Linked DNA regions of Ovis aries. The protein of the gene in region 1 purifies or fractionates together with the protein of each later gene. This does not show direct contact. Links are inferred from orthologs where the notes say so. Each region holds a gene or a part of one and is shown in the gene's direction. Other genes may lie near its edges.

Region 1 (16,115 bases):
CATCCTTATTAGAGTGCTGTTGGTCTTAGTAAAAATCTTTTTGCTCATTAAGTTTTGGATTTTAAAACGTGGAATTTTTTTCTTTCCTGTAGTTTATCTTACTCATCTGGATTATGTAGATACAGAAAGAATAATGACTGAGAAGCTTCACAATCAAGTGAATGGTACGGAGTGGTCATGGAAGAATTTGAATACATTGTGTTGGGCAATAGGCTCCATTAGTGGAGCAATGCATGAAGAGGATGAAAAGCGATTTCTTGTTACTGTTATAAAGGTATGTAAGAGATAGGTGTGAACTAGAACCTTGTTAGTGTATTTTACTATAAATGACTGAAATTTTTCTTACTTTACAGGACCTATTAGGATTATGTGAACAGAAAAGAGGCAAAGATAATAAAGCTATTATTGCATCAAATATCATGTACATAGTAGGTCAATATCCACGATTTTTAAGAGCTCACTGGAAATTTTTGAAGACAGTAGTTAACAAGCTCTTCGAATTCATGCATGGTAAATCCTGTTTGCTTAATATATTTTATTTTTGCTTAATGGAAAAGGCAAAAATTTTATTGATATTTGTTTTTGTTTTGTTAAGAGACCCACGATGGAGTCCAGGACATGGCTTGTGATACTTTCATTAAAATAGCTCAAAAGTGCCGCAGGCATTTCGTTCAGGTTCAGGTTGGAGAAGTAATGCCATTTATTGATGAGATTTTGAACAATATTAACACTATAATTTGTGATCTTCAACCTCAACAGGTATGTGGATCAGTAAGCATATTTTTCTTAGAAAATAACTAATGAGAATTCATTAATGGGGGTAGAATGCCACTAATGGATTCAATTCAAGTGTTTCTGTGTTTAAATTTTTCTAGTGAGGCATAAATTTAATTAGAAGTGTGTTAAACTGAATTGCTACTTATTACTGATATGTTAACAAAATTAGCTTGTTATGTAAATGAATTATTTGTATGTGATTTTCCTTATTATAATGCATACAAGTAACATGTCTACCTTTTAATATAGGTCCATACATTTTATGAAGCTGTGGGGTACATGATCGGTGCACAAACAGACCAAACAGTACAGGAACATTTGATAGAAAAATATATGCTACTTCCTAATCAGGTTTGGGATAGCATAATCCAGCAAGCAACCAAAGTAAGTTTTAGTTACTTTCTGTAAAAGTTCTAATGGAATCTTAAGAAAGTTACATTTACAGAAGTAGTAAATTTTATACCTTGACATGTATATCTGATCCATAGTGCTTTTTGTGCTTTTGCACATTGAAAGAATGGTAGCATTTTTATTCTGTTCGGATCATATTTTGGGAAATACTTTGCTCTATTCTTCAGTAATAAAGACTTTTGCAGTACTTTTACACTTCAAGATTATATATGTAATGGTGGTTTTTAGTGATGTGGGTAATTTTTTTTGCTTTGAAAAAGAATTCTATTATGATAAGTGGAGTTGTGTTTTGTTCTTACAGAATGTGGATATACTTAAAGATCCTGAAACAGTCAAGCAACTTGGTAGCATACTGAAAACAAATGTGAGAGCTTGCAAAGCAGTTGGACACCCATTTGTGATTCAGCTTGGGAGAATTTATTTAGATATGCTTAATGTATACAAGTGCCTCAGTGAAAATATTTCTGCAGCTATTCAAGCTAATGGTAAGCAATTCTGAATTCTTATGGAATAATATATTAAGTTAGTTCTACATTCACTGCCTTCAGTTCAGTGATCATCAGTTCAGTTCAGTCGCTCAGTCGTGTCCGACTCTGCGACCCTATGAATCGCAGCACGCCAGGCCTCCCTGTCCATCACTATCTCCCAGAGTTTACTCAGACTCACGTCCATCGAGTCTGTGATGCTATCCAGCCATCTCATCCTCGGTCGTCCCCTTCTCCTGCCCCCAATCCCTCCCAGTATCAGAGTCTTTTCCAGTGAGTCAACTCTTCGCATGAGGTGGCCAAAGTCATAAGCATTTAGCACTTTTGACAAAATACCTCCTGTGTTTTAGGCAGTCCTCAACAATTTTTAATGAGTTGCACATGCCCCTTTCCCTTATAAAATTATTCTATTTCCCAGGAAATTCATCTGTGTCCTCTTGTTTTTTGTGGCGTTCTGGGTAGCTCAGTGGTAAAGAATCTGCCTCCCAATGATCTGTGGGTCGGGAAGATCCCCTGAAGGAGGAAATGGCAGCCCACTCTAGTACTCTTGCCTGGAAAAATCCCGGGAACAAAAAGATGCTAGCAGGCTATAGTTCATAGGCTTGCAAAGAGTTGGACATGAATGAGCAGGAGCACTCTTTGTCTTCAGGTTTTCTAATGGAGAATGGAAACAAATAGTATCTGAAGTACATGTAACTGCCAATATAGAATTTTAGTTGTCAAATTGGAGTCCACCTGATTTGTTTTTTAGGTGAGATGGTTACAAAGCAACCATTGATTAGAAGTATGCGAACAGTAAAAAGAGAAACTTTAAAGTTAATATCTGGTTGGGTGAGCCGGTCTAATGATCCACAGATGGTAAGTGAAGTGTCATTTTTGTTTTTTAAAGTTGATACTGCATTCTATAGAACGTGTATATATTCTGTATGCATTTAGCTACTTAAAAGGTAATTTAGATGTTTACATTTGGTGTTACTTTATAGCATTCTATTTATTGGAGTTTTGGGGGTCCATTAAAATAGTAAGATCCCATCTCCAGGGGATCTTCCCAACCCAGGAATCGAATACAGGTCTCCTGCATTGCAGGCAGATTTTGTACCAGTTGAGCCACCAGGGAAGCCCAAGATACATACCTTCCTCCAAATAAATTGCTGTTGGTAGGGGGAGGGTGGTGATATAATAAGGTAGTTGAGATGATTGGGTCATTTTTATTTTCCATGGATAGAGTTCAAATGAAATTTTTTTTCCTGATGGTTTTGGGAGCAATTTGTAAAGCTGTCATAAGAGCTGTTTGCCTCCTTAGTGGGAATAAGCAGTTTTATAGTTGAAGGTTTGAAAGTCTTCCTGTCAGTCTTAAATGGTTTTCAAAAAGTAATTGGCTCCATATGCGTGAACTTGGGGGAGCTATTTATGTTTAGTTATTGTTAAACCTTTTGTTCTTTGGATCTTTGGAACATTCCGATAAATCCTTTTCTGTTCATCGCTGTTGGATGGAAGTAGCATTGAGCACTGTGCTACTTACTTTCATAAATTTGATATTTCAATATTGTTCCTATTAATACTGGAAAGTTTCTTCATGAAATTACCAAGGTATCAAACTAGTTTACAGCTAAGATTTATGTTGAACTTTGGGGCTGTGAATTCAGAGATAGTCAAATAATTCAGATTTAGGGTGTAGGAAAATAAATTCAATGTTAAGAGTGGAAATATGAGAGTGGTCAAGGAAAGGATAAATGAGGCATGGGTATGAAGTATACAGTATGGGAAATAGTGTATAATAGTCAAGAACTAATATTTTTAAGGTAACAGACTATAAATTTAATGTGATCATTTTAGAATATATAAAAATATTAAATCACTTGACTGTGTTAATAGGAACTAATGTCATGTTGTAGGTCAAAAAAAGGATGTAGTGTACAAACATGGTATATAAAATTTACACTGCTGTATGTTTTCTAAGAAAGTTGAGTAAATCTTAAGCATTTTTATCACAACTTTTTGCCTGTTTATATGAGGTGTTATATATGAAATATCTATGATCACTAAACTTACTTTTCTATAATCATTTTATAATGTATGTAAGTAAACTTGTAGAACTTAATCACGTCTGAGTAGAACTTGAAGAAAAAGAAGGGAGAATCGGTTCTAGTTAAGAGAAAACCTAGTAATTAAACAAAAATAATTTTGTGCTTATCCTTCAAATCTTGCTAGGCCTGTTTTGTATATTGGGACACTACTACTGTTTAGTTAAATGAAACATGATCATATTTATTGAGCACATCTTAATGGAGGATGCATTATAAAGCATAGAGTTTACACCTTAGACTGTTTATTGGGAATCTCGGAAAGCCTACCACAGTCTTTCTGGCATAGTTTAGTTCCTTTTTTGAGAGTAAGTAATGGTTATTATTTCTGATTATTAAACTATCGGTTAGCATTCATTAAATTTAAAAAAGCATTGATGGTGGATGTCTGATTCTGCTTCGATACGAATACTTCGGTGTACAGTTAGGCTTTACCCTCCCTGTTCCTCACGCACACACAGTATCCCTAGAATCCTGGTCCTGCCAGAATACTTAGAGCTAGTCACTTGATTTCAGGCCCCAGTTTTCTTTAATGAGTATAGATTTAAGCTGTACAATGTCCGTGGCCCTTTTCTGCCTATTTTAATTTCTTGATTTTTCTTTGTAAAGTTCTAATACACCAGAATTAAAGCCATAAGAGTTTCCGTTTTTCAGTAGATGATCAACCTAAATTAAGTCTTACAAGGTGACATTGACCTAGCTGCTTAGTAAGAGTTAGCAAGTGCCTGAATTAAAATTAAAAGTTTTTTTTTTTTTTTTTTAAACAGGTAGCTGAAAATTTTGTTCCTCCTCTGTTGGATGCAGTTCTCATTGATTACCAGAGAAATGTCCCAGCTGCTAGAGAGCCAGAAGTGCTTAGTACTATGGCTATTATTGTCAACAAGTTAGGAGGACATATAACAGCTGAAATACCTCAAATATTTGATGCTGTTTTTGAGTGCACATTGAATATGATAAATAAGGTATGCAATTTGCATTTCAGTTACATAATGGCAAGTTCTACAGTTAATCCATATTACTTTTAAAAGCGTAAATGATGGCTGTCTATAAGCATAGCATAAATTTTAGGCTCTGATGTTAAAACATTTGCACTTCTAGATAAGAAAAGTACTTGTTTTTAAAATTTGCCAAAGATTTTTATTCAAATAGCAGCTAGCGTTTATTTAAAACTTGAAACATTTTAGTCACTGGGTTTTTAGTTAAAGTTCAGTAAAGTGTAGTATATGTTTATAAAGAATGGGAAAATGTATTAACCAAAAAAAAACATGTAGATACACGTGTACACATTTACACAGTAGACTTCTCTAATCTGTGTTACTGATCTCAAAGTCACTTTAAAGTGGTAGCAAATCTCTGGCAAGTTTCAATGCTAATAGAAAATGTGATGGTCTTCGTGGGTTTTGTTGAATTCTCTTTATAATAAGATGACCTTGTATTCCTTCATATTGACAATTCATTTGTGTAATAGTATTTTTGTTCTCCCTTACCAGGTGAATTGTATTATCTGTGAGTTTGACTTCCAGTAGGCCATATATCTTATGGGATCCACTAACAACTCCAAATATCTATAATGAATTAGAGCTTGCTTTCCCTCTTCCATTAAATACAATTTAAGGCATTGAAACTTCTATTTTGTTCCCACCATTTATTTTTAGGACTTTGAAGAATATCCTGAACACAGAACGAACTTTTTCTTACTACTTCAGGCTGTCAATTCTCATTGTTTCCCAGCGTTCCTGGCTATTCCACCTGCACAGTTTAAACTTGTTTTGGATTCTATTATTTGGGCTTTTAAACATACCATGAGGAATGTAGCAGATACAGGTAAATACATAAAAATGATGATCTTTATTTGCCTGCCAACCCACAATCCACATACAGGCACTTACAAATAGACACCCATCTATCTGTGTATTTATAGTTGCAGACAAGAGGTATCACTTCACTTGTCATGGGGTTTTTTTGAGTGCATCAGTAATGGATGTGGGAGAGAATCAACTAAACCTTAAGAAATAATGGAAAGGTGGTAATGGTTAATTAGTCTGTAAGTAAGCAATCATTGATTCTAATTTAACTTCATTACTGAGTCAAGATAATTTAGGCAAATAATTGTCTTTAGCGTAAAAAAAAAAAAAGAGAGGGACTTTGAATTAATAGCTGAAGTACTATTGTGAATGTTGTCAGTATGGAATAAGTTGGTTGGCTTTATATGTCTTTTAGGCTTACAGATACTTTTTACACTCTTACAAAATGTTGCACAAGAAGAAGCTGCAGCTCAGAGTTTTTATCAGACTTATTTTTGTGATATTCTTCAGCATATCTTTTCTGTTGTGACAGACACTTCACATACTGCGGGTAAGAATTTAAAGCTATAAAAATTCTATGTTCCTTCTGATTGTTAGTACATCTGAGAGTTTAATGATGTCCTTCTTACCAACAGGTTTAACAATGCATGCATCCATCCTTGCATATATGTTTAATTTGGTTGAAGAAGGAAAAATAAGTACACCATTAAATCCTGGAAATCCAGTTAACAACCAAATGTTTATTCAGGAATATGTGGCTAATCTTCTTAAGTCTGCATTCCCTCATCTACAAGAGTAAATATCCCTTTTTATAAACTCAAATTTTTTAAGGTTTTTTTTTTTTTTTAGGTGATTAATCATTGTGTTTTAACTTGCAGCGCTCAAGTAAAGCTCTTTGTGACAGGACTTTTCAGCTTAAATCAGGATATTCCAGCATTCAAGGAACATCTTCGGGATTTCCTGGTACAGATAAAGGTACGTATTTTATTTGCAGTTGCAGAAATGTTGAGAGTAAATACTGATTGCATTCTTGCATCCAGAATTGACCACTTTTTGTAATGAGCAAAATGAGTGTGCTTTTAAAATATGTACAGTCTTACTCTTTTGAGATAGATTACAGAAGGAAAAACTTTAAATCAAGGCCAGAAGAGGAGATTGGTTTAAAATGTTTGGGGTAACATGTCTATTGCAACATTGTGATTGAAGCCCATAGATACTTTTAAAGGAGTGGGGGGAATGAAATACGTTGATAGTTCCTTTTGAGATTTTCCCCATTGTTAGTAAAGAATTCATTTTAGGGGGAACCATGGTGATTAGCAGATACCGGCCTGTTATTTACTGCTGTTATGGTGCTTCATTGACTTAGGGGAAAAGGAATTTTTGTTGTATCGTTGTGTTTTAAAGAAATCAAAAAGAGCTGATGAATTCTTGTCCATATCTATTAAATAAGAATTGATAACATAACATGCAGGTTTTTTTCCCCCTCCAAAATACAAAGTTTTATTTTTTTTTATTAAGTGTAAAGAAAAGCTAATTCATACAGAGTTATAAAGGATGAAAATTGATAACATAGCTATGAGAACGATGATAATATACTTAAACTTGATCATTAGTCTTTCTTATTATTACTCCTGAAGTATGTTTTATATGTGGCATTATACTATCCCTCTTTTGTAATCTTTGCCTCCAACCAACACATTTAGTCTTATTATATATATAAGCCCAACGATTGATGGATAATCTACATTGCTAAGTATGTTGACAGTTAACTATCTTTTCACAGGAGTTTGCAGGTGAAGATACATCGGATCTCTTTTTGGAAGAACGAGAAACAGCCCTTCGACAGGCTCAGGAAGAAAAACACAAACTTCAGATGTCTGTCCCAGGCATCCTTAATCCACATGAAATTCCAGAAGAAATGTGTGATTAAAATCAGAAGTCATGCTGGGTTTTTTTTTTTTTCTTTTTTTTCTTTTCCTCTGCAACTCTTGTTAGCAGATGAAAACAGCATCTGGATATTTGTCGACCAAAATGATGCCAATTTGTAAATTAAAATGTCACCTAGTGGCCCTTTTTCTTATGTGTTTTTTGTATAAGAAATTTTCTGTGAAATATCCTTCCATTGTTTAAGCTTTTGTTTTGGTCATCTTTAGTTTGCATGAAGTTGAAAATTACGGCATTTTTAAAAATTTTAACTTCATCCCCATTTTGTGGCTGGGATGGGGGGAGGAGGCAAATCCAATTTGAACATATACTTGTAAATTCTGATGCAAAAGTATACAATTTTTCCTGTAAAGAATACCAATTTTTAATTAGGGAGCATTTTCTTTCTAGCCTGTATTTCAGTCTAGAAGAAAAGATAATGAGTAAAACAGATTGCGTTGTTAAAAGGATTATAGTGCTGCATTGTCTGAAGTTAGCACCTCTTGGACTGAATTGTTTGTCTAGACTACATGTATTACAAGTCTGTATGGCAAGTTTGCAGCAAGATCATGTGCATATCATCCCATTGTAAACGACTTCAAAAAATATGGGAACACAGTTAGTTATTTTTACACAGTTCTTTTTGTTTTTGTGTGTGTGTGCTGTCGCTTGTCGACAACAGCTTTTTGTTTTCCTCAATGAGGAGTGTTGCTCATTTGTGAGCCTTCATTAACTCAAAGTGAAATGGTTAAAAATATTTATCCTGTTAGAATAGGCTGCATCTTTTTAACAACTCATTAAAAACAAACAAAACAAAACTCTGGCTTTTGAGATGACTTATACTAATTTACATTGTTTACCAAGCTGTAGTGCTTTAAGAACACTACTTAAAAAGCAAAATAAACTTGGTTTACATTTATTTTCCCTTTATTGGCTCAAACTTATTCCTGTATTAATGAAAGTGGTTATTTATGTTTAGGTATTAGGTAACATTTTTAAATGAATTTTGATAACTGTTGACTTCCAAGTATTATTTCTAAGGTTATTGAGTAAAGGCAGCATTTGTATAAAACGAATATGTTCCTGAGATATTTTCTGTTCCCAAGAAACCAATCCCTTCTGTGACAGCTTGGCACACATTTTACCTTTACTTGCAGTTAAAAAGCATCTTTCCTCTGGTTAGGAGCTGGGGGTAACAAAGCTGTAGATTCCCTACAAAATATGAAAAGGGAATAGAAAAAGGAAACCAGCTTGAGTGAGCCTGTTTCTAGATGATTCTATATACTTAAACCTAAGCATTTGAAGTGCCTCATGTTTGTGGAGAATCAGCAATTTCATATAATTGCTATTCTCCTAACTTTTTATATAGGTCTTTGGCAAAGATTGGCATTATTTCAGTAGAATGTAATCATGCTTTAAAGTCTTTTTAAAACAAAAAATAGTAAGATGTTTTAAATATACAGAGAGGAATATTGAAGTACTTTGTTTAATACTTTAGCTCTGTTAAAGCTTTGATTTTCTTACTGGTGTTTGCATATAAATAAGTTTTCTTAGAACAGTAAAAAGAGTTCAGTTTCAAATCATATGCTGTATTTGAAATCAGCTTTCCATCAGTGGTAATGTATACTTTTCTTACCCTACAGCCCCATTGCCTACCTTGATATGTTTTGAATGTTAAAGAAACCAAGCTTTGGCCAAAATGAGAACATGCTAATAGAAAATTAAACTTATTGTGGGCATTTCTTGCTTGAATAAAAGTTAATCATATCAGGCCAGCCTCAACGTGTTTTACAAGAAAGCATACTGATAAACTGGCCATTTGAAATGTTTGGCTCAGTGTTGTTTAACTCTTGCAAAAAGGCAGCGTCTCAGTTATAAATTGTGAGAGAGAACTGGAATTGTTTTATAAGTATGTCTGAATCTTGGTTTAGACACCCATTAAAATCATAGACAAGTCATTTGAACTGAAAATGGTCTTACAAAAGCTAATTCCTGAGTCAAGAGGATATCAACAGTAGGATGCTGTTCTAACATTTTAGCATCTCTGAAGATCTGTGGCACCTTAAAAACTGGTGGCTAGGCAGTACTGTTGATAAATTTCCCTGCTTGTCCATGTGCGAACTCAATAATTGTATGCATTTATTGCTATTTAAAGTTGTCTTACAAAAAAGTATTAAAGTGTCTTAGATTGGTCAGCAACAAAATACTACTTCTATGCAAAAAGGCATACGAAGGCAGCAGGATATAAACTTGATAAGGGGGGGTAAATAATCATTGGAAGAATAATCACACTTCCATATTTACTGACATCAGTGGCAACCAAGTTGTTTTTGGGACCTAAGCAGGGAAGCTGTCAATAAGCTATAATGCAAAGAATTGTTCATCAAATGCCTAGCAGTGCAGTTTTATTTATAAGAAGTTGATACTGAAGTTTCAAAAAGGCTTCTGTAACCAACTTTTATTTTTAGTAAAGACTGTTGTCATAGTTGAAAGTGTTTTCTTGTTCTTGATGGTGCATAAGAATACATATTGCAATTAATACCTTAGAGTTGGGAAAAAAGCAGAAAGTAATGAAAGTGAATTCAAACTTATAGTGGCTATCAACCCGCCATTGAGTCAGGTCTATGATAGGATCTAGGATGCAGATTTGATGCCAACAGACATGCAAGGATAGACTTGGTAAAAATGCAGTATTAGAATACTGTGAGATTAATGGTTCTGATGTGCTGGTGTATGTATTGGATGTTCCTTCCGGAAGGTTTCCAACAATTCCATTCTGTAATGTGTGAAGACTCAAGCCTATAGAAAAGTTAAGAAGTTTTTGATGTTCTGATTAGAAGAAACTCAAGGACAAAATGTCTGGATTATAAACAGTCACATAAAAATATAAATAGTACTTTCAGTATTTAAAGTACTGTGGTAAAATGAACAGTAATTGAGTAGAGTTGTAAAGTTTCTTACCACTTTTTGTGCTTTTCATCCTTGACACTCTTGGTAAAGTTAACCATAATTCCATAATATATCTAGTCCATGTTTAGGTTTCCCCAGCAGTTCCTAAGAATGCTTTTCATAGTTTGTGTTTTTCCCAAATGAGTACCCAATTTTAGGTTCATGCCTTTTGCATTTGTAGTTTTTAATTTCAGTGGTAATTGTTTTCTTGAAAAATATTTGGTTACTAATGCAGATCTGTATTTTAAAGTATCTTCTCTTTTTTCCTGTTTAAGCATAGTTTATATTCTGTATTGTCTGCTCTCCCAACTAACAAATCCCTCCTGCGCACCTCTATCCAATAACTTTGCTCTCAGAGTACACTTACTTTTATTTACTGTTTTATTCTAGAGTCCACAGGGAATAAGCCCCTATTAGCTTGCGAAAGTTACATATTTAATAATATCTTTATAAATCAGCATTTTAAGGTGTTTTTGCTCATGTTACAAGAAATACAATAGTTGCTTGTAGTTTATTTTGCAGTGCTCATGTCAGTGGTGTCTAGAGAACCAGTACAGATCTTTGGGAAGTGCAGCTTTATGATAGAAGATTTAGGCAATTTAGAAATTTTTTTCTGTCCCCAAGCACCTGGGTTATACCCCAAGGTCAAATATGGTTGTGGAAATTTCAGGTTTTATACTTGGATCCTGGGCAGCATGGAAAATAAACTTCCCCTTTTAAGACCCAGAAAAAGTTGCAGAACACTTTGGAATATTCTGATTTCCATAACCCTGCCTAATAAGAAGCTGAGAAATACCATGCTAAAGCTGTATGCATTGCTGCTCTGAATAAAACTGGTGTTCTATTAATGAGAAAGGGGGAGAGTGAATTAAGTCTTACTATAAAAGTTGAGCGAAAAGGACAAAAGGCAGTTGACTCCATGAGAAAATAAGTCTAAGCTTTGAGGTATTGAAAATACCAAAGAAATTGCTCCTCTTACAGTGGCAGTTGTTTTTGTCATTCACTGTACACAATTGAAGAAAAAAATCTGTACAAGGTGGCAAACAAAACCATTCACTCCTTGTCTTTGTTACTAATGGCCCTGTGTTGATTTTCAAGGTAACTGCTGAAGCTAGTATCCTGACGTACCAAGATGAAGACTTGAAAACCTGAAGGAATGGAGGCATTACAGAAGTTGAGGGAGTTAGGCCATGCCTAGGAGTTGGGAAAGTTTATATGGGAAACCTATTATTTACTTGGTGAAAAAGGGTTAAAGCCATAGTTCTTGCAAGCTGGGATACACTTTTTTTTTTTTGTAGTCCAGCAGGATTATCCATAAGAGATCCATTATGGGTGGACGGAACGTTAATTTTCTGTACTTGCTACCCTAAACTGAAGTTCCTGACCCAGAACATCTTTTTTCTACAACTGTGACAGGAAAGTAGGCCTTCTCCCTTTGTCTCAAAAGTTCTGAGATCAGATATTACCAGACTTACTCTGCATGTCTGCATCAGGTAAGAACCAACCATTCCTAAAGTATTTCTGGCCTTTTTGTGATTCATCTAGCTCTTAGACACAGAAAGTAGTGGTGTGTTTTCCATTTTGTTCTTCAAACTATTGGCCCACAAGAAATCGTATTCTTGAGTCCACCTCAAGTCTGAATCTTAATCAGACATTTGAAAAGATGGGACCAAGGCCTGAGCTTTGGTGTTGACAAGCCTGCCTGCCCTTTAGGTTACATTAAGCATTACAACTGGTGTGTTTGCTTGCTTATTTTAAAGACTAAGCAGAAATGATTAATCTGTCTATAGAAAAAAAATTTCTGCTTCAGAAGGTGTTTACAACTAGATCACAAGTGAGCTGTTAAGAGGCTACAACGTTAAAAATAGACCATGTAACAACTACTTAGACTATCTGTGCCTAGCCACATAGAAAAATCATCCTGATTTTAGTAAACTAGATTGCTCCCCCAGGATGTTCCTCTTTATTCTGTGAGGTGATGTGCAATAAGTTCCACTTGTGTAAGTATTTACACATACAGAGCCTTAGCTGACTACGCATTGCTTTCACTGGGCTGGGTAGGCTCTGCTTGTCTCTTAATTTAAAATCTCTTGTGCTTTCTGACCATCAAGATAAAGAAAGGACTCCCTTAGAAACAATTCTTTTAAAAAAACATAGTTAATTTTTCACCTTTTATTAATTCAAACTCTCCAAAATGTATTAATTTAAAACAAATCTTGTTTATACAACTACATGTAGTTATATAGCTAAGGTAGGAAATGGTGTTGGTTCATAAATTGTACCTGTTAATACTCTGCTAAGTTATCAAGTTGTCAATCTCCTTAGTTCTTCAGGGTGACCTGAAGCCATGTTTTGTCATTTTGTCTCCATGAAGCAGCTGTGTGAATCTTGTATCATTTAAAAGAACTTCCAGAGTTTTTCAGAGTTCAGTCATCACATGAGAAAATTAAATAGATGATTAATATTAATGAGTTTCCTAGATTGAAAGAAACCGTAATCATTGAGTAGCTATAGCGTTCCTTAGTAGATACAAAGTCACAACCTCAGGAAAGATTCACAGTTTTTGGCAAATCTGAACTATAAGTTTCTCAGGCTGCCTTTGCAAATAAATTTTAGAATGTGCCTGCATTGTTGGTCATCTACTCCATCAAGATGATTCATTTCAGAATATCCATTATTCTAAAACTTGGGATAAATCTTGGAAAAATATGCATTCAAACACTGCATAGTCCAGCTGAGGTTCTGTGAAAGCGTATTGTCTTTCATGAAACTTCTAAAATAGAAGCTGAAAGCTTTTAAGTTTGGAAAATACTGTTTCTCACTGATTCTTAGAAAGAGGCTTTCTAAGAAAAATTCCAGTAACTATGCATTCAAATGTCAAGAAACCATGTATTCACAACTTTTCTTCTGAGTTTTGAATTCGAAGAAGGGGAAGAAAGAGAGGTGACAGTGTGAAACACCTTACCAGTTTTACCAGCATGATAAAGTTATAGTCCCCCCTCTTCCAAAACCTTTACTTTGCTTACAAGGAACTTACGAGCTATGCCTTCTGGAATTGTCCCTTGGAAATTTTCACACTGTGAGCCAACAAAATGAATAAGAGCTATGACTTTTGTAAAGTGGGAGGTTGAATATTTCAAAGAATTGAGGTAAACTAGCAAATGGCTGAAACCTTTTGGGGCAGATCACTTCATAAAGTTCATATTGAGGAACATGCTGCTGCTGCTAAGTTGCTTCAGTCATGTCCAACTCTGTGCAACCCCATAGATGGCATCCCACCAGGCTCCCCCGTCCCTGGGATTCTCCAGGCAAGAACACGAGTGGGTTGCCATTTCCTTCTCCAATGCATGAAAGTGAAAATTGAAAGTGAAGTCGCTCAGTTGCGTCTGACTCTTAGCGACCCCATGGACTACAGCCTACCAGGCTCCTCTGTCCGTGGGGTTTTCCAGGCAAAAGTACTGGAGTGGAGTGCCATTGCCTTCTCCGCATATTGAAGTTGATTCCCCTTAAAAGCACTTAAAGAGTACCCATTGAGAAGCATTTGTGCACCTAAAAGAAGTAAGCAAGCCACTGTGAAGATCTCTGATCTTCAATATGCAGTATGGGTCAGGTTATACCTGTTACCTTATCAAGTTTTGCACTTAGAGAATAATTAAACATGAGGTTCATGAAGTTTAGACTTCAGAGCCCCTGTCTCACAGGAGTCCTTTCCAAAGACCTTTGGGGATCTTAGCTGTTTATCAATAACTTCAGTAGTTAAGCCATAGCAGCCCCAAAATATAATAATACATTAGAGGTAAATTTAGAGAACAAAAAGCTTAATTAACTGATTTTTTCTTAAGATTTGGAGATTATTTATTTTGACTGTAATTGGTCTTTGTTGCTTTGTGAGGGCTTTCTCTTCTAGGTCCTCCTGTACCAGCGCAGCGACCACTCCTTGGACATGGGGTAGCTCCTCCCGGCTGCCGCCCCTGACCTCAGACGGTGGAGGAGGGGAGCTACTCTTGGTTGCTCCAAATTCAGAGTTAAATTGAAGAAAGTAGGGAAAACCACTAGACCATTCAGGTATGACCTAAATCAAATCCCTTATGATTATACAATGGAAGTGAGAAACAGATTTAAGGGACTAGATCTGATAGAGTGCCTGATGAACTATGGACGGAGGTTCGTGACATTGTACAGGAGACAAGGATCAAGACCATCCCCATGGAAAAGAAATGCAAAAAGCAAAATGGCTCTCTGGGGAGGCCTTACAAATAGCTGTGAAAAGAAGAGAGGCAAAAAGCAAAGGAGAAAAGGAAAGATATAAACATCTGAATGTAGATTTCCAAAGAATAGCAAGAAGAGATAAAGCCTTCCTCAGCGATCAATGCAAAGAAATAGAGGAAAAGAACAGAATGGGAAAAACTAGAGATCTCTTCAAGAAAATTAAGATACCAAGGGGAACATTTCATGCAAAGATGGGTACAATTAAGGACAGAAACAGTATGGACCTAACAGAGCAGAAAATATTAAGAAGAGGTGGCAAGAATACACAGAAAAACTGTACAAAAAATCTTAATGACCAAGATAATCACGATGGTATGATCACTCATCTAGAGCCAGACATCCTGGAATGTGAAGTCAAGTGGGCCTTCGAGTTAATAAGTTACTACAGTATTATTGACCATATTCCTTATGCTGTATATTACATCCTTGTGGCTTATTTATTTTGTAACTGGAGGATTGTACCTCGAATCCCTTCACCTGTTTCACTCCAAGTCTGTTCCTGTTTTATGTTTATCTTGCTTTCATTTTTCTTTTATCTTTTTATTCTTTGTGCTGAGTCTTCATGGCTGCTTGTGAGCTTTCTCTAGTTGCAGTGCGTGAGGGTTGCTTTTCACTGCAGCACACAGGTTTCTTTTTGTGGTGGCTTCACTTGTTCCAGAGCATGGGCTCTAGAGTTGTGGTATACGGGCTCAGTTGCCCCACAGCATGTAGAATCTTCTGGACCCGGGATTGAACAAATGTCCTTTGCATTGCTGGGTGGATTCTTAGTGACTACATGACCAGGGAAGTCCCTGTTTTGATTTTTAGATTCCACCTTTGTAATCATTTTAATAATTGGCCCATCTGGAGTTTTAGTGTAAGATGCTATTATTCCACTGCATATATTTCATATTTTCCTATTCATATTTTTATAGATAGATGTAATCCTAGTATATATACAATTTATATGTATTCCTCAGCCTGGAGAATCGTAATCAGTTTGGAGGAAAATGTAATGAAAGTTAGTAACTCTCCTTCTAGGCAAATGCATATGTCCCCTAAGTTTTGTATATAATTTCAGGTCTCTAATTTGATGCAGTTTTTACACAGATAATACCTGACATACACGGGGCTTTTTCACCTAGTGAGGTGGCATATCTGGCCTATTGCCCCATATCAGTATTAGAGAGCTTCCTCTTCACTTTTTAGGGCTGTGTTATATTCCATTAGAAGAATATACTGTCAATAACTTTACCGTATAGTCTATAGAATGGGAATAACATCCACCCATAAAGTACCTGCACGTAATACTTAACCCATAACGTTATACCTACCCATCTGTAAGATGGGAATAATACCTACCTCATAAGGTTATGAGGATTAACTGAGTTTATACATATAAAGAATTGAGAACAGTGTTCAGTCCAGAAATA
Region 2 (17,115 bases), about 41 Mb from region 1:
AAGGAAATGCCTTCCTTGACCTTTCATCATAGTGTATCTGTACCTTACTCAGACAAGAGGGCAGACCCATCTAGGCTTAGTGCAGTGGTTACACACTTTACAAGATTGCAGGAAGCCTCTTTAAGGGAGGAGAGCAAGTGGGTGTGTTTTCAGCTTTTCGAAAGAGCAGGAAAGGGTTCTCTCATTGGATGGGGAGTGTCCCGGGAAACCCCACCAGTTCCTTCATCATTTCTTGGAATGCAGCTCCTGAAGGGAGAGAGTCTCAAGAGTGGTTCCTGGAAAGGGAGGTCTGCATGTATTTCAGACTGTGGTTATTAGCTATAGGACTCTTACTTCTTTGGCTAAGGGCTCAGCTTCTTAGATGTCAGCTGCCTTCTTTCTGAAAGACCAAATCTAACTAATGTAACCAGCAACTTGGGGACTGCCAAGTATGGCTTTGTCCCTGCCATTCAAAAGGAAGGAGTGTGTCGGGCAAGTTAAGGTGGATGCAGTATGTGTGTGTGTGTGTGCGTGTGAGTGTGTGTGATACTGGATATCATCTCTACAGACTGGAAATAAAACATACAAACTTATCCATGTCTTGACTGGTGTATCCTGGGGATGGCTCTGACACTCAGGAAATTCAGAAGAGCTAGCTCACATAGTGACAAAGTGAATGACTGTATCTGTGTACCAGGCTGTTAGACATTGACCTTCCTTTACTGCATACAGCAACCCCATGAGTAAGGTTCTAGTGTATCAGCCTTGCTTGAAAAATGAGAAGCAGGCTTGGAGGAGATAAGCAGTTTGCTGAAAACCAAATAGTAAGCAGCACAATACACCCCCTGGAGCTGACCCATGTGATCCAAATTAAGAATCTGTGTCCTAGAGTGTCTATAATATTCCACTACAAAAATCTCTCCTTTGGACTGTGTAACAGTTGGCAATCAGCATATCCAGACATGCTGAATTCTAATCAGGCCTTCACCACTTTTTGACTGAGGGGAACTTGGGAATCTTCTTGACTTCCCTGTGCTTCCAGTTGCCTCATCAATTAAATGGCAATGATAATCCCTAGGTGACTAGGACGTCTTGAATATTCAATTACACATGGCTCAGCTGGTAAAGAGACCGCTTGCAATGCAGAAGACCTGGGTTCAATCCTTGGGTTGGGAAGATCCCCTGGAGAAGAGAAAGGCTACCCAGTGCAGTATTCTGGCCTGGAGAATTCCATGGACTGTATAGTCCATGGGGTCGCAAAGAGTCGGACACGACTGAGAGACTTTCACTTTCACTGGCTCTTGCTCCAGAAATGACTACCTTAAAAGGAGTAAACAAAGCTGATCGCTGGGGCCCTTTAATCTCCCCTTTCAGCCTTCAGAAACACCAGGGGAGAGGCCCCGTCCCATCAATTTTCTGAACACCTTTTCCTTCCACACCCCGTCCAAAGCCTTTCTCAGGAGCTGCTCCTTGGAAATATTTCTCAAGTTCCTAACATCTTTGAAATCGAAAGTATTAATAACCACCTACATCCAAAGATTACTGTGAAGCCTCAACGAAACGAGCGTGGATATCTCGCGCTTGCACTACCGACTAAAGGAAACCCACACGAGGCGAGCCCACGCCACCTGCAGACGACAGCGGCGGCCTGGGAGCAGCCGGGCGCAGGCGCAGTGACTGCCAGGCCACGCCTCCTCCTCTTCCGAGCCGGCCAATGGGAGGCGGTGGCCAGGAGGCGGCCGCGCGACTTCAGAAGGTCCCCTCAGCCTTCCTCAGCCACGCCGCGGGCCGAAATGCGTGCCGTCACCAAAAGCGCGCCGGAAGTGCGAGTTATGCATCTCGTCGCAAGCTCTGAGGGGAGGAAGTTGGCCTCGGAAAGACCTGGGCTGTGTGGGCCAGGCCGCGGACGGCGGCGGTGGGGGCTCCTTTCACCAACTGAGGCCGCGCGATGGGAGACGAAATGGATGCCGTGATCCCTGAGCGGGAGATGAAGGTCAGGTGTTGGCCAGGGCCTCCCACCCTTCCTTAATCCTGGTATTGCCTTGGCGCCTCCCTGACCCGGGAAGCGCGGGTGTCCGCTGCCCCGCCTCCTGACTGAACGGTGTGAGGCGATGCAAGTTCTTGTCTCCAGAGCGTCCTGGAGCGCTCTGCCGTGCAGCCGGCGTGAAAGCCCCACGGAATGTACTTTCCGCGTCCCCTGCTGGTCTTGTGCGAGCCTCCTGAGTTATCGTGGTTACTTTAATGTGGTCGTCGGAGTATGGGAATAACTGTTGTTTATTGAGCGTTTACTTGCATGCCAGGCGTTGGTAACTATCACAGCGACCCTAGGAAGTACTTGGTAAGTAGAGGAGCAAATAGAGGCTCGGAAAGTTAACTTACCCAAAGCCGCCCTTGACAGGCGGAGTGAAATCTAGGTTGTTGTGAGCAGAGGAGAGATTCTCTCTCTGTCGCTGAATTTCAAGCCTGTAACCCAGGCTTGCTTAACGCAGAGCAGGGATCATCCCTTATCCTACAGGAGCTTTTGTTGTGTTTAGTCGTTTCCGACTCCTTGGGACCCCATGGACTGTAGCCCCCCCGGATTCCTCTGTCCATGGGATTCTCAGGCAAGAATACTGGAGTGGGTTGCCAAGCCCTCCTCCAGGGGATCTTCCTGACTCAGGAATTAAACCCATGTCTGCCGCTTTGCAGGCAGATTCTTTACCATCTGAGCCACCACGGAAGCCCACAAATCCTTTAATTAACTAGATTTGGAGGTCCGTTTTTGGCACTGGAAATCCTTCTGAAGTCAGGAAACTTGAGAGGACCAGATGATCCAAATCTCAGCTTAGTTCAGTCGCTCCAGCATGTCCAACTCTTCGACACCATGGACTGCTCACACTCATGTCCATAGAAAGGAAATATTAATAAGTCATAGGAAGATTTTAGGCATTTAGACAACAACTCACTGAAATGCAGTAGGAAGTAGTAATCCATACCATGTTAAGAGTAGAAGTCTCTTCTTAAGAATCTCTGCCAAGGGTGACCAACCCAATGAGAGTGTGCCCTGTCCCTCATGTAGGTTGGGGCAGAAGGATAAAAAGGTTTTAGAACCACAGACTCAGAAAATGGTGGTCTCCCATTGAGTTTCTGATTACCAAGACCCAGAGGTTATCAGGATGAGAATTAACAAAAAACTGAAAACTTTATGGTGCTGGAGAAGACTCTTGAGAGTCCCTTGGACAGCAAGGAGATAAAACCAGTGCATCCTAAAGGAAATCAGTCCTGAACATTTATTGGAAGAACTGATGCTGAAGCTGAGGCTCCAATTCTTTGGCCACCTGATGCGACTGACTCTTTGGAAAAAACCCTGATGCAGGAAAAGACTGGGGGCAGGAGGAAAAGGGGGCGACAGAGGATGCGATGGTTGGGTGGCATCACTGACTCAATGGACGTGAGTTTGAGTAAGCTCTGGGAGTTGGTGACGGACAGGGAAGCCTGGCATGCTGCAGTCCATGGGGTCGCCGAGAGACTGAACTGAACTATGGTCTCATCTGGAAATCTGTGTGGATTTCTGATCACCATACACAGTTGCAATTACGAAGATTATTTCAGTTACTCTTTTACCAAATATGTTTAAATATCACATCCAAGGGAATTAGTATGTGGGGATCCTGTAGAAAACACCATGTAGCGTAGTGTAGTGAAAGTCACTCAGTCGTGTCCAACTCTTTGCGACCCTGTGGACTATATATAGTCCATGGAATTCTCCAGGCCAGAATACTGGAGTGGGTAGCCTGTCCCTTCTCCAGGGGATCTTCCCAACCCAGGGATCAAACCCAGGTCTCCCGCATTGCAGGGAGATTCTTTACCACCTGAGCCACAAGGGAAGCCATAGGAAACACCATAAAGGTACACAAATGGAGGCTGAGAAAGGCTGTCTTTGGTTTTTATGTCTTAGAGTGTAAGCAAAAGGAAATTTACATTCTTTTCACTAAAACCTTGATTTAAAGATAGATTTAGAATTGAAGGGAAAAAAATATGTATAGTACAACTTAACGTGTGCATGCTCAGTTGCATCCAACTTTTGCAAGTCCATGGACTGTAGCCCACCAGGCTCCTCTTTCCATAGAATCTTCCAGGCAAGGATATTGGAGTGAGTTGGCATTGCCTCCTCCAGGCGATCTGCCCCACCCAGGGGTCAAACCAGCCACACAGTCTTTACTCTTAGGGTAATATATATTTTGCTGTACCAGAATATGACAGGTAATCTAACGTCCTGTTTGTCCTGAATTGATCTTGTTTTGACCCTGCACCATAGGATTTTCAGTTTAGAGCACTGAAGAAAGTGAGAATCTTTGATTCTCCTGAGGAGTTGCCCAAGGAACGCTCGAGTCTGCTTTCTGTGTCCAACAAATACGGCCTGGTCTTTGCTGGTGGAGCCAGTGGATTGCACGTTTTTTCTACTAAAAATCTTCTTATTCAGAATAAACCTGGAGATGATCCTAATAAAATAGGTAAGTTCCTTGGTTTCTGTTGCATGATAGAGAGAGGAGCGTAGAGAAGTGCTAACGTCATCTGCTTCCCAAGTTTTACATAGCAAAACTACTGTTAGTCCTGAGGTTGACCCCCAAGAAGAGGGAGTGCTAGATGGGCTGCTGGACGCCTTCCTGGGTGTTCTCTCTGCTCCTTTGTATTTCTCTTCCGGTGACTTGTTCCTCTGAACTCAGAGGGAAGAACGGCTTACCATGGTGCCACACGTTTTTTTTGTTGTTCAGTTCAACTTGGGTTCTGGCTCTGTAGGAGAAGAACTTTGCTGCATGGCCTTTTAGTTGTCACAATAGCATCATCCAAACACAGGGGAATGTGTACTGTTTGGAGCATTGTTGCAGAAATATGGTACAGGACTATATTCAGCCAGGGCTCTGGCCACAGTTGGTTTCCCCAGGCCGTATGAGGGAGAGCCCCGACAGCACTCACTGCAGCATTAGCCATCTATAAGAAAGCTGCAGTTCTGCACAACTTGGTATCCGGGTGTGTGTGCGTACGTTTATGTAGATGCAAGAATGATGTCACATAGACCTGAGTAGAGAGAGTTTGTGGCTTATGCTTCAAACATTCCATTTTCTGCTCTGTGTTTTTTGGTTTTCAGTTGATAAAGTTCAAAGCTTGCTGGTTCCTATGAAATTCCCAATACATCACCTGGCCTTGAGCTGCGATAACCTCACACTGTCCGTGTGCATGATGTCCAGTGAATATGGTTCCATTATTGCTTTTTTTGATGTTCGCACATTCTCAAATGAGGTAAGCTGCCGGCAAACTCTAGGGACCTAAGGAGAGTGCCTGGTGTTGAATCATAACCTAGAAGTTCCTGGTTGACCTTTGAATTCTTTTTCTAGAGTTGAATTCGGGTTTTTAAGAGGTCCTTAGTTACGGAATCATAAATCAAGATCTTTGCGATAATAGGGACTTCAAGAAATTATTTTGTAATACCACCTGCCCCAGGGTGCTGTCATTTCTCATTTACACTTGAGACAGCCAGAGCCCAGGGACCCTAAGTGACTTGCCTGAGGCCGCAGAGTTAGTAGACAGTGTCAGAAGTTCCTGCATCCTGGGTGTCTGGCCTCCCACCGCAGTGCTCTTCCTTTCCAGGCTGTGTAGTAATGGTAATCGTCAGTGAGATTGAGTGTTGAGATTGACTGCGTGCCAGGCCCTGTGCTGGCGCTTTGCATGCCTTGTTTTTATCCATGCCCACCCCTCTTGGCTTTATACTAGCCTCATACACTCGGTATCATGGTCTTCATCTCAGAGATAGAGAAACAGGCCTAAAGAGTTTAAGTAACCAAGAGTCCAGCAGTACTTGGGCGGGGGGCGGGGTGGGGGGTGGGGTTTGTTTGAGGCACTTTTTTTTTTTTCAGTAGAAAGGAATTTCTTTATTCCTTTCCTGGGGAAAGGGGGATGCAGCAGGCTCGTGCCCCGAAATTGCGCCTCAAGCCCAGAGGCTTTGGCAAGGAGTTTCGCAGCAATGGCTCAACGGCGGGGTTGCTGATGGAAGATTAGCCTGTGTGCAGGGCCTGCAGGCCTTTAATCTGGTCTCAGGTGGTCTCTCTTTTTTTTCTTAATTTTTAAACTAAACATTTAATTTTGTTTTGGGGTATAGCTGATTAGCAATGTTGTGATAGTTTCAGGTGAATGGTGAAGGGGCTCAATCATACATATTGAAGCACCTTTTATATCATTAATCTTTCATTAGCCTTCTACAACAAATCTTTCACTGAGGCAATTTTGGAATTTTGAAGCCTGCTGGGGCTTCTGCGTACCAATTAAAATAAGCGCAGTATTTTAAGATGAGCACTCTCTAAAATTCAAGGACCCAACACTATTAAGAAGCAGAGTCTCAGTTTTTATTTAGTATATGCTCTTTATCCATTATTTTGCATTTGTGTATTCCCTGTTGAGAGTCCCTCTGAGTATGCTACAATAATCGATGGCCATTTTCAAAATTATGTTAAAATTTTCTGTAACAAATAGACTGTTGTATAGGGCTACAGTTTTTTTTCATGGTCATGGGGAAAAGTGAACTGTAATTTGAGAAAACTTGCATATTCAATAATTTTCTTGGACCATTGAATGTCTCTGTATTTATCTGTTTATTTTTGCCTCTGGGCATTTGTTTTAAAAGGCTAAACAGCAGAAGCGTCCGTTTGCATATCATAAGCTCTTAAAAGATGCAGGAGGCTTGGTGATTGACATGAAGTGGAACCCTACAGTCTCCTCCATGGTGGCAGTTTGTCTGGCTGACGGCAGCATTGCAGTCCTACAAGTCACAGAAACAGTGAAAGTGTGTGCGACCCTTCCTTCCACAGTAGGAGTAACGTCTGGTGAGTAATAACATCTTTTACTCTTTAACATACGGTAATGGTCATCTATTTAAAAATTAATCTCTGAGGAAAAAAGCAAATAGGGCTCTTTGTCATACTTGTTTTTTGGTAGAAGTGGAGAGAGTGTATTTTATTTGTGTAGTTACTGTCCCTGAAGCCACACAGCACACATGATTTACCTTCAGTGTGCTTGGGTTTTCTGGTGAAATGTTTGGGTATAGAAATGTTTGGTTTAGAACTGTGTTGTTGAAATAATTATTTTGACCTGAAAGATCAGACTCTGAAACAGTCATTTGTACCTTAGGGGGAAAACATTAGAAAATATCCAATAGAAGCAAGAGAAAGATTTCTTGATATTTGAAAACCTTTTCTATCCTCCTCGATTTATCTAAAAACTGGAGTTTTCTGCACTTCACAGCTTTCTGGGCAATACTCCATTGAAAAAGCCTTTCTAGCAACTGGTTCAATGGCCCAGTAACAAATCACAATTCGATTGTGTCATCGACATGATGTTTCTTTTTTTACTTTGCCAAGTAAGGATGATCCCACAGTCTTCCATGGACTGACAGAAAGAGGAACACAAAGTGGTAATTGTTGCCATTTAGTCGCTAAGTCACGTCGGACTCTTTTGCGACCCCATGGACTGCAGCGCGCCAGGCTCCTGTGTCCATGGGATTTCCCAGGCAAGAATATTGGAGTAGGTGGCCATTTCCTTCTCCAAGAGATCTTCTTGACCCAGGGATCAAGCCTGCACCTCCTGCATTGGCAGGTGGATCTTTTACCGCTAAACCACCAGGGAAGCCTGAAGTGGTGATTACATGGCTGTTTTGGTACATATCTCACGGTTTGCTCCATTTTCTTCAGTTTTTAATTGGTAGTATTTTCTTCTTTACCCAGTGTGCTGGAGCCCCAAAGGAAAGCAGCTGGCTGTGGGGAAACAGAATGGAACTGTGGTCCAGTATCTTCCTGTAAGTCTTGCCTTGGGCTTCAGAGCATTTTTATCAAGTAACTGTTTTGGGGTTGGTTTGGTAGTATCTTTGCTGTTTTTTCCTATTGAAATATAGTTTATGTTCCTTGCAACAAATCTGTCTGCACCCAAGAGAATGCAGGAAAGAGCTGTCGCGTGCCCACTCTGTCATCCTTTTCCTGTGGTCTTCCAGAGATAATATTCCTGAGTACTCTTCAGTATAAATCGGCAGAGAATCTGTGTATGTCCGATCACACCCGGTTGAGAAGGAGAGGCTCGCGGGCAGTGCAGAGGCCTGTGCTGCTGTGTATCCCTCCTGTTCTCTGCAGGGTACAGAGGGTGAATGTGGTGGGACAGGCTTCAAGTTCAGGTTCAGTTTCTTCTTTATCAGCACAGAAAGTCGTTACATGAAATTTGGTCCATGTTCTTTTAGGGCATTGGCCTGTAAAACGACAATACAGTTGTTGGATTTGCGGTCTGGGGATTGTTTTGTTTGACACTGGTTTTTTCAAATCTCTTTCAGACTTTGCAGGAAAAGAAAGTCATTCCTTGTCCTCCATTTTATGAGGCAGACCATCCCGTCAGAGGTAATGCATCTGCTTTTCTCACTGGGCTAACGTCTAATGAGGCACTGTCTGTGGTGCAGAAATGTTAGACCATGTGGGGCCTGCATACCGGCTCAGGAAAGTGCTGGTGCCTCTTGTGTGAAAACACTGTTTCAGCTAGCTAATTAGGTCTCGATCCCTGGGACAGGACGATCCCCTGGAGAAGGAAATGGCAACCCACTCCAGTCTTCTTGCCTAGAAATCCCACGGACAGAGAAGTCTGGTGGTCTACAGTCCATGGGCGGCAAGGAGTTGAACACAGCTACATAACTGAGCACAGCATACATACACAATTAAGTCACCGTAACAGTAATTCTCTAGTAGATACCTGTGTCACTTGGTAAATGATGTTAAATGGATCCTGACTTTTTTTTTTTAATTAGAATTCTTCATTATTTGCTTTGATTATCATCTGCTGGGGGTGAAATACCACTCTGGAATGAATTTGAGCTTTTTGAATCTTTGTGAATTACGTTTAGTGAAGTCTAGACCTTTTTAAAAGCTATAGTAGTTGGATACTTGTTTATCTATGAGCTGATAATTTTATAATGTACAGGGGTTATTCCAAGCACAGAGATGGTTTATTAGGATGTGTGTCTTTCAGTTCTGGACGTTCTGTGGATTGGCACCTATGAATTCACCATAGTGTATGCCGCGGCGGATGGGACCTTGGAAACGGCTCCAGATGTGGTGATGGCTCTGCTCCCGGTATGTGTGTGAAAGCGGTGTCTTGATTATTTGAGAATTATATAAGTCTTCTAATAAAGTTAGAGGCTTTAGGCGTCTCTCTCCTTTCCTTACTGGCAGTGGTACCACTTGAGGTGTGAGATTTTTTTAATGCTGCACTAGGGGCCTGAGGACCAAAATGGTGGTGTCCTCTTAGAGCACGTTCTATTGTTGAGCCATATGGTGAAAAAAAATCCTAAAATTTTAAGTTGTAAACTGTGAGTTATGATAGGTGTTAATCTGATGAAATCATTTTAGAAAAGCAAGAAAATATGTTGATTTTCAAAATTCATTCACTTATTCAACGACTGAACAACAAAGTATGTCAATATGCAGTGGTACCATTTTTAATCTTTGCCAATCTGATATGAGAAAAAAGTGCCTCCTTTTTATTAACTTTTTGGGTTCCTGACAATGTCAAATTTTAAAAATAAGTTTGTTAAGGTGCCTTATTTCAAGATTAAGATTTTCTATTCCCAGGGATAATGTTAACACTAGCATTTGCTGAGTACCGTTTATGTTCCGTGTCCTGGATTAGAAACTTTCTACATATCCTTTCATATCTCAGTTAAAACAGCCTTTGATGTAGATTTTTTTAGGTCCATCATTTGTTGTTGCTGTTCAGTTGCTGAGTCGTGTCCGACTCTCTGCGACTGCTTGGACTGCAGCATGCCAGGCTTCCCTGTCCTTCACCATCTCCTGAAGCTTGCTCAAACTCATGTCCGTTGAGTTGGTGATGCCATCCAACCATCTAACCCTCTGTTGTCCCCTTCTCTTCCTGCCTTCGATCTTTCCCAGCATGAGGGTCTTTTCTAGTGAGTTGGCTCTTTGCATAGGGGACCAGAGTATTGGTGCTTCAACTTCACAATCAGTCCCTCCAGTGAATATTCAGGAATGATTTCCTTTAGGTGTAGGTCCATCATACATAGGGAAAAACATTGTCAGAGAAGTTGAGTAATCTCCATGGCCAACGTTTCTGTTCTTTGTATTGCTCAATGTTGTCTTTATAGTGTGTCTATGTATTTTCTTTTTTTATTTTCTCAGTAAATTTTTTTCATAAAACTTAAAGGATTTTATCTTTTGAGATTCTTAACTTTGTAGGATTAAAGAAAAATCACCCATGAGATTTTTTTTTTTCTCATTCTGTTCAATGTAGAAAAAAGAGGAAAAGCACCCTGAGGTGTTTATGAACTTCATGGAGCCCTGCTATGGCAGCTGTACCGAGAGGCAGCATCATTACTACCTCAGCTTCGTTGAAGAGTGGTGAGCTGTGGACGAGGGAGGGCACACCTGGGTCATTTTGTCCTGCTTGTTCTGTTTTGTTTCCTCTCTGTAAGAGAGGAGAATAGAGGTTGGAGATGCCCTAACCATATATTCAGCTCATGTTGGATAATGCCTGACTACTACATCTGTTTCCCCAGTCTTGAATTATATACCTCGAATACACACTAAACTTAAAAATCCCATTTTCTCAATAAGTCCACTGATGACTTAAGAAAATACAGATATTTAAGGAACATATTAAAAGTTTCCCTCTGAGCTGAAGTGTCCCTTTGAAAGATGGATTTCTTGAAACAAAGTTTCTCTTGCTTCAGTTAGGTTATTCTCTGTTCAGAGTGGTATATTTATTGGGATCTGAACTGATTCTGTAGTGCCTCCCCTTTGTCTTAAGTAAGGAGACAGTTGGCTGAGTCTCCAGGGCTCTGCCCTGTGGACTAAAAAGTACGCTTTACGTCCAAAATCTTCTTACCTTCAACGAGGTAGAAAGCTCGCCTTTCTCCTTGACATCTAGGGAAGCTTTGTAGGTGTCACCACTGACTCAAGTCAAGGTACAGCTGTTGCCGTTTGAATTTAATGGTCTTCCGGTTTTATTCCTTGAAGGGATTTAGTGCTGGCAGCATCCGCAGCTTCCACAGAAGTCAGCATCCTCGCGCGACAAAGCAGCCAGGTAAATGTTTCTCTTTTGTCACTTTTATGTGATGTTGTTCTGAGAGAGATTTTGGAGGGGTTTAACTGTGAGGTTAAGATTTAGCTGAAGTCACACTCCTTTTATTGAGTTTCTGGATGAGAGCACAGCTTAAAAAAGCTGTGGACCAAATGGCTTGGGTGTTGTGTTGGACAAACTTGGGTGCTGGATTCAGCAGTTCCTTCAGTGTTAGCCAAAGCCCTCTGTTTGTTTCCACCCTCCATGAATACCTCATACCCATAGTCGTAATTGAATGTATTCCAATACGAGTGTACCTGGGTGTGTAGGAGCCTTTTTCTGCTTTATTCTGTTTAACTGTCTTTATTTTCTCCTTATTACTTGAATCTGCCTCTTCTATTCAGTTAACTATAACCCATCCTTGATTATGGAAGAGAGACATGCAAGTCAAACCAAACTGTGACTCTTGAGAAATACTTTCTGTTTGGAAAACCACCAGAAAGCTAAAAGCATCTGTGTAGACAAGCCCCCATCTTCCTTCTCTTGCTTTGTGCTCCTTGCAGGCCAGAGTGGGCTGAGGTTGTCATGGTACACTCCCCTTATGCAGAGAGACTACACGGAAGACACAGTTCCTCAGCCGAAAACTTTCCCTTTTGAAAAGTCTACCTGGAGTTTGAAAATGTTCTGTGCATCCTGTGCCTCTTCAGTCATTCAGCATTTATCCACCCTTCTCTTGAGTGGCACGGTGGCCCACCATAAGTGCTTAGCTCTCAGAGTCCAGCACTCTTGATTTGCTGCTCTTGGATTAACTTCAGTAACAATCTCCAATTGGATTAACTTCAGTAACAATCTCCTGATAACACAAGTATTTTATGTATTCACACATTAAGAAACATTCTGATTTTTGCTTTTTATCAAAGTAATTTATGTTCATGGTTGAAAAGTCAAGTAGTGGAAAAGGGCTTATACGTGAAATAGCAGCCCTTCCCATCCTGTCCTGGTCTGTCCTGTTCTCTGAAAGAGACCATTTTTAACTTGTGGTCTCTCTCTCTTAATGGTTATCTCCTTATCCCGAAATAATAATTTATTGCATCACTGGTTATCAATTGTTAACTTTAAATTATTGGCCATGATGCAAATGAGGGTTTAGCTCACGTGTGGCCTTTATACTCCTGTCCTTCCTTTCAATAGGATTAGAGCACTGTTTCAGTCTCTTCTACTTGTTACCTTTGAACTGTAAGTCATTTTTACTTTCGATTCTTACAGTTCTACCATGTAGCATCTCTCATGATCTTCCGGGCTGTGAGAGGACCATCTCAGTACCCACCCTTGCCTGTAGCACAGCTCCTCCATGCCCACCTGTAAGCTGTTGTCACCTGCATCTCATACTCCACAAAATCAAAGCTGACGTTGGTTGTATTTTGCCCTGTGTGATTAGCAAGCCTTCTTTGTTTTGTGTATTGTTGTATTGCCGATTGTTTTTCAAAGTTGGAACCTGTTTCATTTACTAACGTTATTGTGAATGTGACTGTTCACTTCATGCCTAAGGCTTGGATCACAATTGTTTTCTTTCCTCAACAGTTTTTTTGTTTTTCTGTCTCTCGTTGAGCATTATTCCTCCTTTAATTCATGCTGCCCAGTTTTGGTCAGCATTGAAAGTTGGACGAAATGGCTGTGATTTTTAAAAACCAGGAGTCATTTGTTGCAGGGAACAGATCCCACTCAAGCAAACATGAGCCAAAGGGGAGTTTATTGGAAAGATGTGGCTTCTCAGGGAATCCGGTGGCAGGAAGATTGACCGTTGGAGGAAATACACTGAGAACTAGGAAGACAAGAGCTCTGCCTCTGTGGTCGAGTGAGCATGGGGCGTCCGGCAGCTTTCTAGGCTGTGTGCTCACGGCCGCAGCCGTTGTCACCTGGCGCTCCTGGTCCCCATGCAGATCCCTCAGAGCAGCTGCTGGCTGGCTCCATGCAGCTGTCAGATGGTCCCACTGTGTCAGGAGTCCACTCAGATGTGGTGGAGGACATGTCAGAGGATGTTCGTGATAGTGATATTTATTCACCAGACAGGAGCTTTGTACACCAGGAAAAGATAGAAAGACTTGGAAAAGGAACCCCTTGCTTCCTGCGGAGTTCGTAGCTTTTAGACTATGTTTCCAGATTTTAGAGTCCCAGGGAATGCAATACTAAACCAAGTGAGTTCCCTTTTTCTCCTCTCCTATTTGAACAGTGCTGGAAAAAGCTCTAAGCAACGCTGTATCTTCTTCTACTTGTTCTTTTTTCCAGAATAGCTGGGAATCTTGGCTGCTGGAGGATTCTAGTCGAGCTGAACTGCCTGTGACAGACAAGAGTGATGATTCCTTGCCCATGGGAGTCGCCATAGATTACACTAACCAAGTGGAAATTACCATCAGTAAGTATAGTCTGTCATAGCTAAGCTACGTGCAGGAATAGTCTTCTTCCCATCATGGTTAATATTCAAATCCAGCTCTACATTTTCCTGATGGAACTTTCTCTGCCGTGCACTTTCAGCTTGTGGTAGCGTGTCTGTGTAAAGAGTTAGACAGAGTGCACTATACCACACCCGTCTGATTTGAGTGGATATTCACTGACCAAGGCCACACACTCTGTGTGTCTCTGTGTGTGTAAGAATATGGCTGGAATACACAACACCAACTTCGTAGCCTTGTTTCTTTGCCCCTCCCGGTTTCCCAGGGCCTCCCAGGCAGGTGGTGTATCCCAATACTCCGTTCCATGGCTTGGATAAGAAATTGGAGGCCTCAAGTACAGACTTCCAAACGGGGCCCGAGCATGTGCTCTGAGTCTGTCTTCTCCCCTGCTGAGTCTTGGCAGGGCTGCAGTCCCGTGAAATGTGAACATGAGAAATGACATATTTTTTCTCAGGGATCCAGAGAGCAAGCTACTGGCTGCAAGTAGGGAGAGGGAAGCGGGGAGGGGCATCATAGGAGAGGGGGAGCAGGAGGCACAGACCGCTGGGTGCGAGACAGGCTGCAGGGAGGCGGTGCACGCGGCCAGTGTCTGGCAGTAACTGTAAGTGGGGTGCAACCTGTAACACTTGTGTAAAGAATTTTAAAAAGAGCCAAGGAGACAGTATAATGAAAAGGCAGAAGAATGGAGTGGAAAAAAAATCTACAAAGTATATCTGATAAGGGGTAATACCCAAAATATATAAGGAACCCATGCAACTCAATAGCAAAGCGAAATAAATAACCTGATTAGGAAACGGGCAGAGGACCTGTATAGACATTTTTCTAAAGAAAGCATACAGATGGCCAACGTATATGAAAAGGTGCTCGACATTACTAATTACCAGCACAGGGAGCTCTGCTCAATACTCTATAGTGACCAGATGGGAAAACAGTCTCAAAAAGTGGATGTGTGTGTACAGTGTATATGACTGACTCACTTTGCCATACAGCAGAAACTAATGCAACGTTGTCAGTCAGCTCTGTGCCAATGAAAACTTTTTAACAGGTTTTTACTACACACACCATCGATGTGTTTATTAGCTTGACTGTGGTAGTCATTTCACAGTGTGTGTGTCCTTCAAGTCATGTTATACACCTTAAGTACATAGCAATTTTTATTTGTCAGTTTTATGTGAATAAAACTGGGAATGTATGTATATATTTTTAAAAAGGCATATACTATGTGCGTTATTTTAGAGAGGTGTCTGTGTCAGGCACCACTGAGTTCCTTTCCTTTCTCTGACCAGACTGTTTGGTCTGGTTCACTTTACTTTTGATTCTCACGAAGACTTAATTGACAAAATACATGCTTATCATTCAACTGTAAAGTAATTGGACTCACTTTTCTGCATCCTTCTGTGTGTTTTCCCCAAGAGTCTCCTCTGTCATTTTTCCTAGAGACTCCTGTGTTGGTCGGGGGGATGCTGAACCTGTCTCCCTGACACCGGGACACACATAAAAATCAGAGCTTTGGGAGAGTCAGAGCCACTGCACAGTTGCTGGTGTTTGCACCGGCTGTCTGATCACAGCTCTGCTTTAAAGGGCCGATTCATAAGGGCTGTTCAGCTCCAAGTCAGAGCGAACCAACTGCAGCTTGTATGCGGAAGAGTCCAGTGAAACCCCTTGCACGTCAGGCTGTCTTTACCTCCCACGCAGGGGCCCTTCCATTGACTTGGCCCTTCTACTACCTTGGTTTTCTTTTTTAACAGATGAGGAGAAGACTCTTCCACCTGCTCCAGTGCTTATGTTACTTTCAACAGATGGTGTGCTTTGTCCTTTTTACATGATCAATCAAAATCCTGGCGTAAGGTCCCTCCTCAGGACACCAGAGCGGCTCTCGTTGGAAGGAGAGCGGCAACCCAAGTCATCAGGTGTGTACCTCCACTGCCCCCCCAACCCCAGCTGTGGCTGACAGGGGGTCCTGCAGGCTCGAACAGGAGTGTCTGCTGGGATGAGCGCTGTGAGGTCGCAAAGTGTTATCACTGTCAGCCAGTCTGTCTCTTCAAGGGAGGACCAGTCTTCCCCTTGAACACATGCACACACTTGCTATCTCTCACCCTCAAGCTTTATTCACCAGCCTTTACTTTAGAGAAAAAGGAAGCTCAACCCGATGGATCCCATTAGGTAATTTACTGACAGTACCCTGTTGTGAGACCCCATATTATATGATCTGAAACCCAACATGTTTAATGTGAGAAATTGGTTAAGTGATTGTACGTCTAAACAGTGAAATGTCATGTAACAGTTAAAAATGTTATATTTATTAACAGAGAAAGGGCAGAACATGGCATGAAAGAGCACTATGGTTTCTTTTTTTATGAGAAAAATATATACATTAAAAAACTACTTGTGAGATACTAAAATGTAGATAGTGGCTACTGCTGCATGGTGAGAACGTGGAAATTTTCTTTTCTCTTTGTATTTAATTTTCTTTAGTTCCTCCCCCCGCACCCACCCCCCCCTACCCCCGAAGGTATTGCTTAAGTAATACATGCTTATTGGAGGAAAATTGAATGAAAAATATAAAAACACTTTAGAGCCCATTAGTCATCAAGCAATAGCCAGTCAACATTTTGGTACATATTCTTTATGTCCATAAATGCATGCATATAAATGCCAGTCTGCATTTTCAGCATTTTCTCAATGACAGTCACCTGTGAGAACAAAATAAACTTTTTAGAAGGGCATTGTTTCATATTTTAGAATTTCACTAGTATTTCTCTTTTTGAATTCTGTGAATATATAACTAGTAAGCTTTTTCTCTTCTAATATAGTTTTTAAAGCTCATAGTGTAACCAATTCTATATCTTGTAAAAAATACTTGGACCAGTGGGTTTGGGTATGGTTGAGAACACTTAAGAGTGTCTTATCGCACTGCTTCCCAGTGCAGAGTGAATTATACATCATAAATAGAGCCACTTGGATACTTGGGCTCCTATCAACTGTCAGTGTGACCTTAAGTAATATACTAGGTGCCTTGCATAGACTGTATTCGTGCTGTTATGTTGGAAAATCTCCTCAACACAGTGTGTACTCTTGAGTTGTTTTCTTCCCTTTAAGTGGTTCTGCGTCCCATGAACTCCCTACACTCAGTTTCTGGGTCCATATATAATAAGCAGTGTGCCCTGTGAAGTCAGGAGCCTGGGGAATGATGTTTGTTTCTTTTTCTTTCTTTCTTTCTTTTTAAATACTTGTTTGACTGCTTCCGCTCTTTACTGTGGCCTGTGAAAGCTTCTGTTGCAGCCCACAGTCTCTCTAGTTGAGGCACATGGGCTTAGTTACTCTGTAGTATGTGAGATCTTAGTTCCCCAGTCAAGGATTGGACCTGCACCCGCTGCATTGCAAGGTGGATTTTTTACCACTGAACCACCAGGGAAGCCCCAGGAAGTATTAATAGATTTACTTGTATTTATACTTTCAAAGAAGTGAACATTTACTTGGGGTTCTCTATTTTCAGAAAGTGGCATTTTTATGTGCTAAATCACTTCAGTCATATCTGACTCTTTGAGACCCTGTGGACTGTAGCCCACCAGGCTTCTCTGTCCTTGGAGAGTCTCCAGGCAAGAAC

What was found.
Region 2: the proteins of XPO1 (region 1) and NUP214 purify together in Homo sapiens (affinity purification with western blotting; 4 studies listed by BioGRID and IntAct, with this or other methods). This does not show direct contact. The link is inferred for Ovis aries from reciprocal best matches to the Homo sapiens genes XPO1 and NUP214.

What each region holds. Positions count from the first base shown.
Region 1 is NC_056056.1:46,609,533-46,625,647, forward strand, and holds the end of XPO1 (exportin-1), read left to right. Parts: intron 1-92; coding exon 93-274; intron 275-353; coding exon 354-510; intron 511-595; coding exon 596-759; intron 760-1,026; coding exon 1,027-1,161; intron 1,162-1,489; coding exon 1,490-1,673; intron 1,674-2,424; coding exon 2,425-2,531; intron 2,532-4,524; coding exon 4,525-4,719; intron 4,720-5,412; coding exon 5,413-5,581; intron 5,582-5,977; coding exon 5,978-6,112; intron 6,113-6,197; coding exon 6,198-6,357; intron 6,358-6,440; coding exon 6,441-6,537; intron 6,538-7,345; coding exon 7,346-7,492; 3' UTR 7,493-8,404; downstream 8,405-16,115. UniProt on the Homo sapiens protein: Mediates the nuclear export of cellular proteins (cargos) bearing a leucine-rich nuclear export signal (NES) and of RNAs.
Region 2 is NC_056056.1:5,577,429-5,594,543, reverse strand, and holds the start of NUP214 (nuclear pore complex protein Nup214), read left to right. Parts: upstream 1-1,813; 5' UTR 1,814-1,927; coding exon of another isoform or gene 1,928-1,972; 5' UTR 1,973-2,272; coding exon 2,273-2,317; intron 2,318-4,276; coding exon 4,277-4,472; intron 4,473-5,107; coding exon 5,108-5,259; intron 5,260-6,637; coding exon 6,638-6,836; intron 6,837-7,733; coding exon 7,734-7,804; intron 7,805-8,326; coding exon 8,327-8,390; intron 8,391-9,012; coding exon 9,013-9,116; intron 9,117-10,290; coding exon 10,291-10,397; intron 10,398-11,015; coding exon 11,016-11,082; intron 11,083-13,344; coding exon 13,345-13,471; intron 13,472-15,256; coding exon 15,257-15,418; intron 15,419-17,115. UniProt on the Homo sapiens protein: Part of the nuclear pore complex. Has a critical role in nucleocytoplasmic transport.